Diceros bicornis minor: one gene and its partner. The protein of the gene in region 1 interacts with the protein of each later gene in a biochemical or structural test. Links are inferred from orthologs where the notes say so. Each region holds a gene or a part of one and is shown in the gene's direction. Other genes may lie near its edges.

Region 1 (8,048 bases):
CAGATTATATGCTGAACTGTAACCATGTGCAGCTGTGCAAAAAAACTACTGAAGGGCAAAAGGGGAAATAGGCCTCTGAGCACAACAATGGTCCTTCTAATAATATTCTTTAAATATTAAAATAATGTGTTTAGGCTAAATGGAAAACAAGAAGAATATACTAAAATTTGAGGCAAATCAAAATTCAGTTCCATGTGATAAGAAATGAAAAAGAGACTTAAAGCTGTCATGGGTTGGCATTAACACCACAGCAGCAAAAGTAGATTTTACTCAAAATCAAAATGCCAATTCTTTCATTCAATCGAATTTTAACATCTAATATGCGGACATAGTCTACCTCTCAAAATACCAGTTCTGAAAGTCCTAAACACTTAAAATCCAATTCAGTGTTCTACCAATAATCAATATATTATACAATATTACCTTCAAATTCCTTTCATAATTAGCTTGTTAATGATACTGACTTGGAGTACTGTTTCCTGAGGGAAAGAGAGACAGGAAGGAAGGAAGAATTCATAATAAATGAACAGGAAAACACACACAAAAATTTTGTTAAAACCAAAGATCCTGAAACTGAATGAAAAATTTGACTGTCAGTCAGACTATCTGACTAAAACCTAATGATTCATCAGACTCAGATTATGTTAACTTAAACATGTATCTTTACTCAGATACATAAAGTAACAAAAACTAGGAGACAACTCAAGATCCTGCTAATGAAAAATCAAAAGAATCTGAACTAGACGTGAGTGATGAAAGTCAACAATTCTCTACCACCAATCAAAATATAAATCTTCCGAAGATAGTCATTATTCTTATGTTTAAAGACTCCAGGGATAGAGAGAATTCAGCTTAGGATGTAGACAGAATACCAGAAGAGAATATTGCTCCCACTCTAAAAATGGGAAAAAGTCATATTTCTTGAAGCTATCTTCAAAAAATAAGCTGAGGTGGCAAACCAACCAGGTGAACTGAATTCCAAAGCATGATAAGCCATTTGGAAGATAGACAAATATCAACTGTTTCACCTTTGCCAAGGTATGAGAGAGGAGGTAGCAACCATGTAAGCAGGTAAGAAGAAAACAACCGGATTTGTAATGAATTCTGGTATAGACATTGTAAGACTTATTTTGGAAACTGTAGAATACTCTGAGTCCTTCCTAATAACAAAATAATTTTTTAAAAAGGAATAGCTATCATTTAGCGTGAGTTTACTAAATTCCAACCATTGTGCTAGCACTTAACACACTTTGTTGAATTAGACCTCACAACCCAGTAAGAAAGGAGTGTTAGTATCCTTGTTTAATAGCAGAGAAAACGGCACAGAGAGGGTAAGTAATTTGTCCACGTTCCCACAGATGGTGAGTGGCAAAGCTGGGATTCAAACCGAGGCATCCTGACTACAGAGCCTGGCTCACAATTAGGATACTACACGGTCTCTTCCCCAGTCCAAACATACTTTTTTAATGCAATTTAAATTATTTAAATCATTTTTGTTCAGTTTTCATAGTGAACAAATTAGAAATTCTCCTATTATTCCTTTAGATATATGAAGATAGAATGCTAAGAAAGTCATGTTTAATATAGAATTTAACTAAGCCTTTTTACCTTGCAAGTAATACTGCCATTACTAAGGGTAATATATAACTCTAATCTACATGGGAAAAGTAAAAAGAGCAAATTAGAACTGGGGAAGAACCCTTCTGTTCTTGCCCTAATCTGTCCATCAGAGAGAGCACTAAACTGCAGAGAACTAAAGGTCTACTTTAAAATTAATCAAGGGAAAATAACTCTTTTGAAATCTGATTGGCAGATAGAAACTTCTTGCTATGTAATTGTTCTTAGTCTTTTGTTCCCCTAAGCTAAATAACACAGAAAAAAAAAAAGAAAAGAATTTTAAGATTTACTTCATGCTATGATTCAGGAAGTAAAGAAAAAGCACATCACCCTTCTATTTAAATAGAATCTCTTTTGTTTTACTGATTTTCAAAAAGATCACTAATATACTACTGTATATATATGGCTTATATATACATATATATATATTTGACTATAGCTTATAGTCAAATATCATTTCCAGGCCTTTTTGGCCCCTCCTGTGCCCTTGTAACTATGCTTTTGCCCCTTTGTATAACTTTCTCAATTTACAAAGTCACTTAGTATTCTATCTGAAGCTTCCAATGAGTACTAGAAATAACTCATCCCACAGTCATTTGCAGATATTAAAAAAAAAAAACTATAATTCATTTGTTGTAGATACTGATCTAGTAATTCTACTTCTAGAACTATGGTATACCTCTTTTACTAAAATGGGACATGGGGTGTGCTAAGATCAAACAAATGAAATTAATCAGGAAAATAAAAAAAATCCACATCAGTAGCAATCACGATGCAGTTCCTGAAGAGACCAGGCAGCAATCTCTAGTGACCTAGTAATCTCAAGTCTTCAATGGACACAATTCCTTACATTAAACAGAACCACATATACCAAATTAAACTTTTATTTACTATATTAGGAGAACAGCCATGATTAGAAGGAATGCAGAAAAAAATTATGCCCATATTAGCAAGCTACAGCGTTTCTCTTGTGAGTGCAAAGTGTTAGTCAAATATCTATTCTAGTATTAGAAGACTTCGATTTGCAGAGTTGAAAGGCTCTCTCTGAAGTCCTACAGAGGATCTGGTGTCCACCAATTCAGATACTGCAAGTATTCTGTGAACTAGAAATGTTCCCTAGCTCTCAAGCAACTACTAGCTAAGTCCCAGACTGAACAGGATACTTCTCATCTTTAAATTTAGAATCATCCCATCTCTTAGACCTTCTATCTATGAGATCTGTATCTAAAGTGGCCTTGCCAAATTACTTTATATCTCAAAACTTTGTTTATTCTCATCATGGCATTTTAAATACTTTTTTCCTTGTTTATTCTTTCTCCTCCCTTACTTACAAGCTTCCTCTGTCTTGTTCACTTTCCTGAAGGAGACTATAACTTTTATTGCTAAAAATACCTTCTCTAGTGGCTGGCCCCATGGCATAGTGGTTAAGTTCCAGGTTAAGCTCCAATTCAGTGGCCTGGGGTTCGTGGGTTCAGATCCCAGGCGCGGACCTACATCACTCACGAAAGCCATGCTGTGGCCATGACCCACATACAAAATAGAGCCAGACTGCCACAGATGTTAGGTCTGGGCCAATCTTTCTCAAGCAGAAAGAGGAGGACTGGCAACAGGTGTTAGCTCAGGGCCAATCTTCCTCACCAAAAAAAATATATGTATATATTTTCTCTAATGAGTTGCAATTTTAAGGGAAAAGATGTAGATTTCAAAGGAAGGCCACTGCTTTCTCCTTAGCCAAAGTAACATAAAACTGACTTTATGTAAAAAATCAGAATACTGCATTTAAAAATATTTTCCATACACTATTAGTTTAATGGTTTGTGAACATTCTACATAGTATTCTTTACCTAGTTTCAACCAAAATCACTTTGTGACCAGATCCCCTTTTTACACCAATTCCACCTACTTTCAAGAACAACTTGAAGCTTCATGAATACTTTCCTCTCTTAAGAAGTGGTTACTTTTCAAGCTAAGCACCAACCTTGAAACAAGCACAGACGTGGGCAAAGGAGGTTTAATTCATGTTTTTTAAAGAAATGAATCCTTTTTTTAAAACAACTAAGAATCACTTCTTTAAATAAAGTGTGTCACACAGCATAGTGACCTACTATTTTTGAGATGAGGCTGGCCTGCTTGCTTCTGAACTTTTTAAATCCTCTCCATTTTCCTTAGGGTCGGAATTTATTCCCCTTCCCTCTTCCACTGTTCTCCCGGGTTCACAGTTAACAGTACAGTTTGCACAACGGATTTCGCATGGTCATCCTACCTGGAATATGGCACGCTCCCTACTCTAAGCGCCCCCCAACTCTTCTCCGCAGAGATAGGCTAAAAGCAGCTGTCTTGACGGCGGCGACGCAACCCCAGACACAACCGGTTGAGCAAGCGCAGCCGAATGGCTTTGCTGGTGGCTCGCAGCGTTGCATTGTCAAGCCCTTTGCAAACATATAGTCACCTGATTTGTTCCCACGCTAGCCCTTATAAGACTAGTCAAGGCTGCCAGGGGATGCGCAGCTTTCCCACTGCACACAGGAGCCACTATGGTCTCCTGCTCCCCTAAAACTAAACCACCGCCTCTCGTTCGAACTGCGCTTTAGTTTACAAAACGCGTTATCTTATCCGCCCCTCTTTCCAAGCCTGGGAGACGAGCGTCGTCGTTGCAGTGCCTAGTTTACAGGTGAGCAAAGGATCCTGCCCACAGACCCGGTCCTAAGGGCCGCCCTCTCCTCCGTGGAGGAGGCAGCTTCCTGGGAGAGGGGAGAACAGCTGTGACGCCCCGGGCTCGCAGCCTCTCACCTGGCCGGTGGGCCGGGCTACCGCCTCCACTCAGCTTCCGGGAACGTGGGCCCCGCGGCGGCGGCCAACCGGGGTCTCCAGGGTCCTCTCGATGTCCGTCTGCGCGCGGCCCCAGACCCAAAGCGCCTCACGCTCTCTCCCTCAGGCCCACCGTCCGATCTCGCCAGACAGCGTCTGGAAGGCCCAGGAAACTCCGCGTCCGCCACAGCCGTCCAGGGTCTGGGACCCACGCGCCGAGGCGACAGCGGTGGCGGTCACCAGAAGGCCTGCGGGTTCGCGGGAAAGGAAAACCCGGCCCCAGTCAAGCAGCTGACATTTCTCAGTCAGCCGAAGCACCGCCCACTTCCGCTTCCCCGCCTACTCCGTGGGCTCTGCAGCCCCTCAGCCGCGGGGGGTTGTGGGTATCGCGAGGGCGGGCAAAGCTGCAAGGAAAGAGAGTAGTGGCGAGCCAGGCGGACTACGGGGCAGGGCAGAAACTACAATTCCCAGCAGGCAGGGGGCCGCAGACGGCGGCTGCGGAGGAGAGCGGGCAGAAGAGCTCTGCGCGCGCGGCGGGGATGGAACGTTGCTAGAGTTCGCGGGTCTTGCTGCTGCACGCTGCAGCAGCACGCTGTGAGCCGCCGCGCGCCAAAGCGGGAATCCGGGAGGCGGGCAGCTCTGCAGTCAATGCACGCATTTAAAACTCCCGAACCTGTAGACGCCATGCACAGGTAAACTGATTGCAAAATGGGGCAGAACATGAATGGACCTTCTTAATTCATTTAGGCCGCGGATATTGCTACTTGCAATATTGTTACTAATGCTGCAATGCGAATGATTGCTTAGCCGCTTCTTTGGGAAAGCGCGAATGGATGGAAGCTTTAGTGCGGTGATCAGCGTGCGGTTTTATTAGGCTCCCCTTATTGGGCTTCCCTGCTACTGTTTTCAATCACTGTGTGATTGCCCTCTTTCTTTCCTTGTCTGTTCTCTCGACTTTAAGAAATTCTTGAGGCCTTCTGCATGATCGTAAATCAAAGAGCCTTTTCGATTTGTTTGGTTATTTTCTCTTTCATTCTTGGGAACTCGCTACCATCACGTAAAAAATGCAATTCTGTTAGCTATTGTGAAAGTTTTCTACAATGCGTAACTGGCAATTCCGTTTAGGCCTACCTTGGAATTATTTACGGGTGTGTTGTAGAAAGAAGCGGGGTGGCTATTGTGCATCTTTGCAGGAAACACCTCCAGGAGATTCCCGACCAGAGTAGCAACGTTACCACCAGTTTCACGTGGGGATGGGATTCTAGCAAGACTTGTGAACTGCTGTCAGGCATGGGGGTCTCCGCCCTGGAGAAGGAGGAGGTGGATAGTGAGAACATCCCCCAGGAACTGCTCTCAAACCTGAGTCATCCGCAGAGCCCGCCACGAAAACGGCTGAAGAGCAAAGGGAATGACAAGGACTTTGTGATCGTTCGCAGACCTAAGCTAAATCGAGATAACTTTCCAGGTAATGTATGAGGGTAAAACTGTCAATCACCCAAAGGGTGTGTTGAACTAGTTTGTTGTGCAAAATGGAGATTTGTTCAGGGATCTTTAGAATGGGGCCCTTTTAAAATTGCCTAATTCTAAAGCTATTTTCCAAAGAAATGAGACAACTCATTGTCGTTGAAGTCTACAGGAATATTGGTAGGAACATATCTTCTAATGCACAATTGACTTTTGATCCATGTGAAATTTTAACCCATGAGAAGACATTCCTGCCTTTTTCCTTAGAAGGGAATCTGCCTGCTCAAAAGCCAGCTCAGTGCCACTGATAAATGGGAACATAAGCAAAGATCTTCTTGTAGGATTCTTTTTGTTTATATTCTGCTGCTCTATAGCCCTGGTTGAGCTTTTTGCTATAATCACTTTAGTTATTTGTCTAAGAACTGCTAAAGTGAAAGTTAAACACAAGTGGAGGAGACTTATCTCCCCAAGTACACTCTCAAATGGGCTTCCTCTGGCATGCCCTGTCTCCATTACTGCCAGCATTAAACCCAACCCAACCCAACAATCTGAGGGTCACTCAGATTCCCACCATCCCCTGACATCCAGCCAATCATTGAATCTTTCCCTCTTGTCTCAGAAATATTCTCAAGCTTTCATCATCTCTTGCCTGAACTATTGGAATGGACTCAGAATTCTAGCCTTATCCTCCCCAGATCCATCCCCAGAGTTAGAGTGGACTGGTTGAAATGTAGAACTCACTATATCATTCCCCTCTTAATAGCTCCCCATTCCCAGTCTTCTCGGCAGGTGAGAGAGTGCCTCCCAGAGTGTCTCCCAGAGAACCCCAAGAGTACTCAGTCATAGGGTAAACATAGTGCATTGACCTGGGGTTATCAGTTTTTCTTGCTAGTAAGTCATTTAAAACACTAATTCAGCAAATATTTGCTGACAACATGCTATGTGCTAGGCATTGTTCTAGGTGCTGGGGATACAGCAGTGAGCAAAACATAAACATTCCTATGCTCGTGCAGCTTCTGTTCTAGAGAGAGGACACAATAAACATAATAAATATGGTAGGTAGTATGTTAGAAGGTGATAAGTGCTATAGCTAAAAACAAAAATAGAACAAGCCAAGAGAGATTGGAAGGACTAGAGTGGGAAGATGGATTGCAATTTTGAGCAGGGTATTGAAGGAAAGCTTCACTTAGACAGTGAGCTTTAAGCACAGGCATAAAGGAGGTGAGGGACTGTGCTATGCAAATACCTTGGAGAAGAGAGCAGCAAGCAGAGGGACCAGCCAGTGCAAAGACCCTGGGGCAGAAGCGTGTCATGTTTGTTGAAGGAACAACAGGCAAGCCATACTCCCAGAGTGGAGGGAGGGAAGGGAGAGTAGTGGGAGATCAGGCTAGAGGTGGTGGTGAGCAGAGTTGTGATGTGACCTTTTAAAAGGACACATTCATGTGTTGAGATTAAAATGTAGAGGGTTGAAGGTAGAAGTTTAGAGACTTGTTAAGAGGTATGGGCTTGGTGATAAACTGGTCAGATTCTGGATAGATTCTGACATTAGAGTCAACAGAATTAGGAGGCTATTGAAAGTGTCTGAGTAGAGGTGATAAGTCTAAACTGAAATTGGGTGGGCAATGGAGAAAAAGAGATTAAAGAAATAAAGATGAAGTCTTGCAGATCCAACATAAATAAGTATATTCCTAAATTCTTCCCATTTGGCTTCTTTTGCAGAAGCGTTGATTGGTTGGTTGGTTGCTTGCTTTGCTTTAAAAAAATCTGGGGTTTTTTTGGTTTTTGACCTTTTCATTAGGAAAAAGAACCTTCAAGTTATGGTCTGGGAATCTGCATCAGGAGTTGGTTAATTAAAAAGGCAGCGAAGGATTGTGGTGAATTCAGACAAATCTGGGTTTGAATCACTATTCTGCTGTTTATCAACATTGGCAAGTTATTTGAGTTCTGTGTGCCTTAGTTTCTTTGTGAAATGGAGTGATAATACTCACTTCATGGGCTGCTGTGAAGATTAGATGACAGAGCACACGTAAAGCTCTTAGCGTGCTGCCTGGCACATAACACTCAATACGTAAACCCAGTTAATGTGGTTAACAAAATTTCTGATGTCCATTTGGAAGGCTACTTCACTTCATCTTTTGTCTTTAATACTGTTAGTCTGA
Region 2 (7,516 bases), on another chromosome or scaffold:
GACCCCTGTTTTGAAGTACCACAGTGAACCTCACACTTTAATTATAGCAGACAATTTTGATATGCCTCTGACATATTATATATTTTTATAATAGCACACTTTTACACTTTCCCCTTCTGTGTCCTTAAATATTCTTTTCTTAACAGTCGAAACTCTACTTATTCTTCAGCTACCATAGAGCCTCTCTCTCACTAGTTCCAGTAAAAGTCCAGGATTGAGTATCATTGTCAAGCCATGGACTGCTGTGGTCAGGGGTATGGAATACACTGCTAAATGGTTCCTCCTGAGGTCCCAGAGACGGGACTGAGGCCAATGCCAGTAAAACCATATGGATTGAGAAGGGTGAGAGAGAGGAGTGGTTCCCTGAAGAGAAGGAAGGGTCCTGTGACCAGAAGAAGTGGCAATGGAAGAACAGATGATGTTACTCTTAGGTTTGATATCAGCTTTCTTTTAAGGATGAAACACATAGTCACGCTGTAATTTATGTGATTATATCAAAGAAAAACATATATGTAAGTAAGCAATTCTGAATGCATTTTATATACATAAGGGGTTAGCTATTGGAAGTTTTATTAGAGAAAATGAAAAAAAGTTGTTTTAAATGAAAGACTTATAAATTGTCATATCTTTAGGAGACGTATATCTGACAAGTTTTGTTTAGTTTTACAAGTATGTTCAGAACTCGAATTAATATAACGGTAATATAACAGTATTTAAATATTCTTTATATTAATAAGATATGTATATAAAGAAATCTAAAATCAAATGAAATCTAAACACTAGGTTCTAGTCACAAAATATGTATTTACTGGACATATTTACTGATGTATTTTCTTCTAAAGCTTTTCTTTTAAAAAATATATTAATTTTATAGAAAAGGAGAAGGAGTTTTTAAATCTGACAACATTTCTGCTATATCCATCCTAAAAGATGTGCTGTCTAAAGAAGCTACAAAAAGGAAAATTAACCTCAACATATCATACGGTAAAAAAAAAAAAGAAAGAAAGAAAAATGAATCATTCTTTCTGGGGTTTTTTTGGTTGTTGTCGTTACAATAAGAGTGTTTCTGATCAAAGTGACTTACCTAATTGTGCTTGGCTCAACTCCTTCTAGAAATAAATGAAGTCTCAGTCAAGCACACTTTAAAGCTAATCCACCCAAAGCTGGAGTACCAGCTGCTTTTGGCTAAGAAAGTGCAGTTAATTGATGCTTTAAAAGTAAGTAAATGTGTCATGGACTCATGATCATTATTTTATTGTAATGAGATTTCTAAAATTGTAAAGACTTTAAAGCTACACTGGATTGAATTTTGAACATTAAGGTGCTTCTGTTTTAAATTTAAATAAGGAATTGCAGGTTCATGAGGGAAATACAAACTTTCTGATACCAGAATATCGCTGTATTCTAGAAGAGGCAGATCATCTCCAGGAAGAATACAAAAAGCAACCTGCACATCTTGAAAGACTCTATGGTTAGTGGACATTCTAGAATACCTTGCCATATTTCTTTTCTACTGGCTATTTGCGAAGGATCATGTGAGAGAAGCTGGGCAGAAGGAGACAGGCAGAGATTATAGCAGTCATGAACCAGTGACAACCAATTTATTGCACCAAATATTTATTTTGTCAAGTTAGTTTTAATATTTAATATTCTTGATAAAATGCAAGTAAAAATTAAGAAGTGAAATAAGTGTAATGCAATAATTAATCTATATATATGAAGAAACCGGGTGTGAAATGAATATTACCTATGAAGCATTAAAATTTAGGCTATATTTCACACAAATAATTTTCAGGTTTTGTTGCTATTGTGAAATATCAAATTGCAGCATTTAATATTTTTTAGGCAAAATTTAATAAGGGATATGTGTATGGGCTGTGTCAGTTTACAGTTCAAAACTCATTTTGCTTTGGTGGTGAGAAGTTAGGTGTTTCACAAATTGTATTGAAAAAAGAGTGAGAGCAAGAGGAACCTAGGAATATTTGCCTTCAAGTCAAATCCCAAGAATGGTCACTATGTAATGTAATACTTTAATTCAAATAAAGCTGTTAGGGATAGAATCTGTCTACACTATGTCAAAATGGTCAGCTTGGTAGGAAAAATAAACTGCTTGTTGTGATGTTATATATACCAGTAGCAGTTCAAAACTGGTCAGCAGTTGATTGTCTAAATTAATAGCTTGTAACCAGTTGTTAAGAGGATTATTAGCCAAATGATTTATATTTTGAAACTTGTCTTAAAATCGCCCCAAAATAAATATTTTTTAAGCATCAGTCTTTTGGGGTTTGTGTATATTAAATAATGGAATTACAGGTGCTTAGAAATCGATTCTCAAGCAATTACTTTCATTAAACACTGTGTCTTAATTAGAACTAATGTTTTTCTTTGTAGGCATGATCACTGATCTTTTCATAGATAAGTTCAAATTCAAAGGCACCAATGTAAAAACCAAAGTACCTCTTTTACTGGAGATTCTGGACAGTTATGACCAAAATGCCTTAATTGCTTTCTTTGATGCTGCATGAAATGTATCTTTGATGCTGCATGAAATGTAAACAAGGTAAAGTTTCAAAGAAGTCTGTTTAAATGAAAAATGTTAAAACAGAATTACAAGCTAACTGTACCCACTTTTATTTCAGATGCTGTGTAATATCATCTAAAAATATTTGAGATATTTAGTAATGCATCTATTTCTTTTGACAAATGGAGCTTTTTAAAAATAAAGAGAATTTAAAAAAAAAACCGGAATGATTATAAGAGATTTTAGTGGATATTTTGCAAGTGGATGTTTTAACTTTTAAATTGAGAAATAATATTTGGAAAATAAAAATATATTCAAATATTTAACAGGCTACACACATATATAAACTGTAAAGGTTTCAAAATGTATTTGCATATGTTACCTCATTTGATCTTCACAACGTATATTTATTATTATTATTTTGTCAAATCATATAGGAAAACTGATTCTCAGTGAGTTTAAGTGATTAAGAGGACATGCTATTATTTTGTAAAGCTGGGACCAGAACCTAAGTTCTGGTGCCTGGTTTGTGCCTGCTTACTATGTATGTTGTCATCCAGTAGAAGTAACCTACCAATTATTTTTTCTAGGAGTTGAGATTGATTTAGAACTGATTTCGATCTTGCTTGGTAATATTTTTTGACTCATACTCAGTGTATGAAATGCTTGAGTTGGCTCAGTGCTATAAATTGTGCCCAGGGAAATAAGCAGAGTTTGCACAGATTGGGGGGATCTTAACTTGATGTCGTGTACCCAGTAGAGCTATATAAGTCTACTACATGTGAATAATAGTGATGGCTTCTTAGATTTTCCTGCACTGGTATCCACTAATTTCCTTTTTATCATATATGGAGGGAAATATGACTTTAAGAGTATGGGACTTTTGTTCATTAATCTTCATCTTTATTCACATTCAGGGGAATATTGTATTTAAAGGTTGTTTTAAAATGCCATAAAGATTATAATGGAAAATAAGCTATTCTTTCTGTTTTCAAGAAGGGCACACGCATGAATTTGTCAGAAAACAATAATGCTTATTAATTATATACCATTATATTTATTAGTTATCTGCAAGCTTTGTTGTATATTAAATGTGAAAATTTGTTGAAGGCACATATTGCTAAGAGTTTTATTTTAATAAGGTCTTATTGTTTTTACTGTATTTAAACAACCTTCATTTCTAAATGGAACACATAATTATATCTAGGTCACCAGAATTTCACTGGGTGCTTTGTGTTGGCTGCCACAGCTTGGGGAAAAATAGATAAAAATTAATGGCTGTCTAGTTGAATTTCTTGTAGTACATTCCTATTTGTGATATATATCAAAAGTAGTTCAAGGTGGCACCTTAAATTAATTGCATCTTCATTAGGAAAAATAACAAGCATAAGACTAAAGAAACCCCTAAATACTAAGATGACCTTATAGTCTGCCACTTGAGTACCTGTTACCACGTGAGCCGCGTGTTAAGTGATTTCTGCACATTATTTAATCCTAACGACAACCGTATGACGTGTGGATAGCATTCCTCCCAATGACATAAGAGGACTGCGAACGCAGACACTGAAGACTACGAGGCCCGCGAGTGGCCGGGCCCGATTTTAGACCATGGGAAGCAAGTCCGTCAAGCTAACTGGAGGTCCCGGGGCTAAAGGCTGGGCGGCCCACTAGTAATCGCTCCAGGTTAATTCAGTTTATCCTTGAGCCAGCCCTTGCCCTGAGCCTGCCTAGTGGCTCCGTTTAAAGTCACCCTAAACTCAGGCCCCGCCTCCCCGGCCGGCGCAGGCGTCCTTCCTCCCGCCGCCGTTCGACGTTTCTCCGCCCCGCCCCTACGCGGTAGCCTTCGCGGCCGCCTTCACTCGCCTGCGACCGCGTCGCCTCTAGTGACGTCACCGGCCGCGGCCCTGTTCATTGGTCCATTTCAATAGTCGCGGGATACTTGAACTGCATGAACAGCCGCCGCTCCGGCGGGCTGCTCGCTTCTTTTCGGGGGCGTCTGTCGCCTTCCACGCCCGGCAGTGCCTGTCTGCGCCTTTCGCAACTTCTCCGGTCCTGCGCGATCCCGAGCGGGCGCGCGCGCAGGCGGGCCCGGGCTGCGGCGGGCGGCCACGGCTGAAGCCTTCCTCTGCGCGGCCGGTCGGCGGGACGGAGTGCACGCTGCTTGGCGCCGCAGGCTGATCCCGCCGCGCCCCCGGGAGCAGTGATGCTGGGCAGCTCCGCGCCCGGGCCTGCGGCCCGCGAGGCGGGTTCTGCGCTGCTAACATTGCAGCAGACGGCGCTGCTGGAGGACCAGGAGAACATCAACCCCGAGAAGGCGGCGCCCGCCCAGCAGCCCCGGACCCGGGCCCGGCTGGCGGTGCTGAAGGCCGGGAACGCGCGGGGTCCAGCGCCGCAGCAGAGGCCCAAGACGCGACGGGTAAAGAGATCTATCTGCGGGAGGGTGGGCCGAGCAGGAGTTCTGCGTGGGTTTAGCAGGCGGAGGAGTGGCGAGAAAGCATCCTCTGGGCTTTTTTAGGGAGGCCTCGGTCTGGAGTCCCCTTGATCCCTGGTTTCCTGGCATGTGGGATGCCACTATGGTAGTTTCTCCCATTCCTCTCCTTGCTAGCACTGTGCGTTATGTTGCCTGTCTGATCTCTATTGAGGTATGTTTCTATAGATAATGGGGTCACACCAAGCCCTACAACATGAGTGTGGTCTTTGCACGACTCTGCGGCTTCCTCTCTGCTTTTAAACCCCAGGCGCTGCTCTAGGACCCAGACCCCCTTTCTCCTCCCCATATGGTTAAGAGATTACTCTGCTTTACGAAAGGGTATAATAATACTTTGCTTTTGGTAAATTCCGCCATTTTACCGGATTTGCTCTGTTGCTCCACCCTGGGGCGAAAGTGGTGAACCGACACTTTTGCCATCTCTCTCCTAAACTTGTCATCTTTCGGCCTGCCGCTCCACCCATCTTGTGGCCTTGATTAGTTTTGCATAATTCCACTTAGTATGACTCTTTCTATAACCTTCCTGGGAATGCGTGTGACAAATTGGAACATCCCTTCTTTTTTCAATCCCTCAAATCCTTGCCTTTGCCCCAAAAAGTTTAATTTTCCTGATAGAGTATTTGGGAGTAAAACCGGAGGCTGAGACCCATAAAAGAAAGCAAAACTCCATTTAAATAGCCTCAAAGCCAGTTATTCATTTCTTTTTAGGTTGCACCTCTTAAAGATCTTCCTATAAATGATGAGCATGTCACTGTTCCTCCCTGGAAAGCAAACAGTAAACAGCCTGCATTTACCATTCATGTGGATGAAGCAGAAGAAGAGACTCACAAGAGGTCAAGTGAATCTAAAAAAACAGAATGTGAAGATGCCCTGGCTTTTAATTCAGCTATTGCTTTGCCTGGACCAAGAAAACCACTGGCACCTCTTGATTATCCAATGGATGGTAGTTTTGGTAAGTTTTAAAGAACATCTGTGTCAGATCAATGTAATTATAATTATTAAATAGATTGGATTAACAATAATTTGCATTTTAAGACATTATCTTACCTGATCCTTACTAGATAATGAGTTAAGTTTAATGTAACAAGTTTAGAAAGGGTGTGACTTAGGCCTCATTTCTAATACATGACCTAATGACCTACGAAAGGACCCAGAGCCTGATCAGGTGCTCCTTTTGGTACACTGCCAATCACATCAATTTAATTGAATCTCACTTATTTTAATCTGACCCTGGAAATGTTTGCTTGATTGGGAGAATAGATTTCAGTTGTAGTCATAAGACTTACTTTGTACATACCACTGCAGAGAATGCTCTTTGAGGATGCAGCTTTAAATATTGTGATGTCTAACATCTATTTCAGCTTTAAAATTTTGTTTCTGTAAAACTGGTCTGCGTGATTGTCTGATATCAGAGAGGGACACTGTCCTCCTGTGAGTCAGCAGTTGAACCGTGGCTGTTGGCGCTGAACCACATATTAAGCAAAGCAGCTGCTGTAGACAGCTGTGTCCCCAGTTTGTGCTGCCTCTTCACCATAGGGCTGTGGAGTGCCTGGTCAGCTCACTAAATCCAATCTTGTTTTAGTTTTACTTCTATTGATGAGAGGTGGTCTGGGAATAGCAGGCAAGTCCCTTTGGAAATAATGTGTGTATTTTTATTTAAAACTTGCGACAAATTTTAAGTCAGTGAACCTTGAAGTAAAAAGAATAATGGATGATATTCTTTGCTTCCAGAGATAATTTAAAATTACAAAAAATAAATCACTTGTTGATTGTAGTATTAATTTGAACTGTCAGTAACAAACCTAATTTTCTCATCAACACACTTGTTAGCCTTGCTTCTAGTTATTGCCTAGATTGTGCTTTGAATATTTGGGGTCTGCAAACTCATGGGGCAAATCCTGGATATTATCTCAAAACTTCGATTTTAAGTTTGTCCTAACAGAACTACCGTGCCCTCTACTCCTCTCTCTCCTGGAAGATGAATGCTACTTGAACATAATGCCTGATCCTCAAACTCATTTTCCTGTTAGTGGCCTAACGGTATTTTTTCTTGTTAACTAAAATCATTCCAAAGCTAAGTGGACAGATGTACTAAAACCAGAGGGAAATATTCTATGTACTTTGTCCTGAGGAGCCCTTTTTAGTTGGATGAAGTAAATGCTTCATAGTATGGGAATCCTTACAAGGGCAATCACTTTTAGCATTAAATTAAATAGAAAATTAAACAGTGAACTTAATCACACTTTTGGATTCTCCTAGAGTCCCCACATGCTATGGACATGTCAATTGTATTGGAAGATGAAAAGCCAGTAAGTGTTAATGAAGTACCAGACTACCATGAGGATATTCACACATACCTTAGGGAAATGGAGGTAAAGGCTCTCTGAATCCACTTTTTATAATGTTATTTATTCAATTTGGAGAAATGAAATTGAGAGGATAATGTTTTTAAGTTTTTTACGGTTAGTAAATTACTCTAATGCCATACTTGTGTTTCTAGCCCATAG

The links.
Region 2: the proteins of SKP2 (region 1) and CCNA2 are reported together in a solved structure, tested with the Homo sapiens proteins (2 studies listed by BioGRID, with this or other methods). The link is inferred for Diceros bicornis minor from reciprocal best matches to the Homo sapiens genes SKP2 and CCNA2.

Annotation. Positions count from the first base shown.
Region 1 is NC_080759.1:32,941,604-32,949,651, reverse strand, and holds the start of SKP2 (S-phase kinase-associated protein 2), read left to right. Parts: upstream 1-4,948; 5' UTR 4,949-5,073; coding exon 5,074-5,117; intron 5,118-5,618; coding exon 5,619-5,890; intron 5,891-8,048. UniProt on the Homo sapiens protein: Substrate recognition component of a SCF (SKP1-CUL1-F-box protein) E3 ubiquitin-protein ligase complex which mediates the ubiquitination and subsequent proteasomal degradation of target proteins involved in cell cycle progression, signal transduction and transcription.
Region 2 is NC_080750.1:15,146,746-15,154,261, reverse strand, and holds the start of CCNA2 (cyclin-A2), read left to right. Parts: upstream 1-4,462; 5' UTR 4,463-4,724; coding exon 4,725-4,937; intron 4,938-5,717; coding exon 5,718-5,961; intron 5,962-7,268; coding exon 7,269-7,381; intron 7,382-7,516. Other genes in the region: BBS7 (Bardet-Biedl syndrome 7 protein), read left to right, coding at 875-984, 1,114-1,217, 1,348-1,471, 2,392-2,525. UniProt on the Homo sapiens protein: Cyclin which controls both the G1/S and the G2/M transition phases of the cell cycle. Functions through the formation of specific serine/threonine protein kinase holoenzyme complexes with the cyclin-dependent protein kinases CDK1 or CDK2.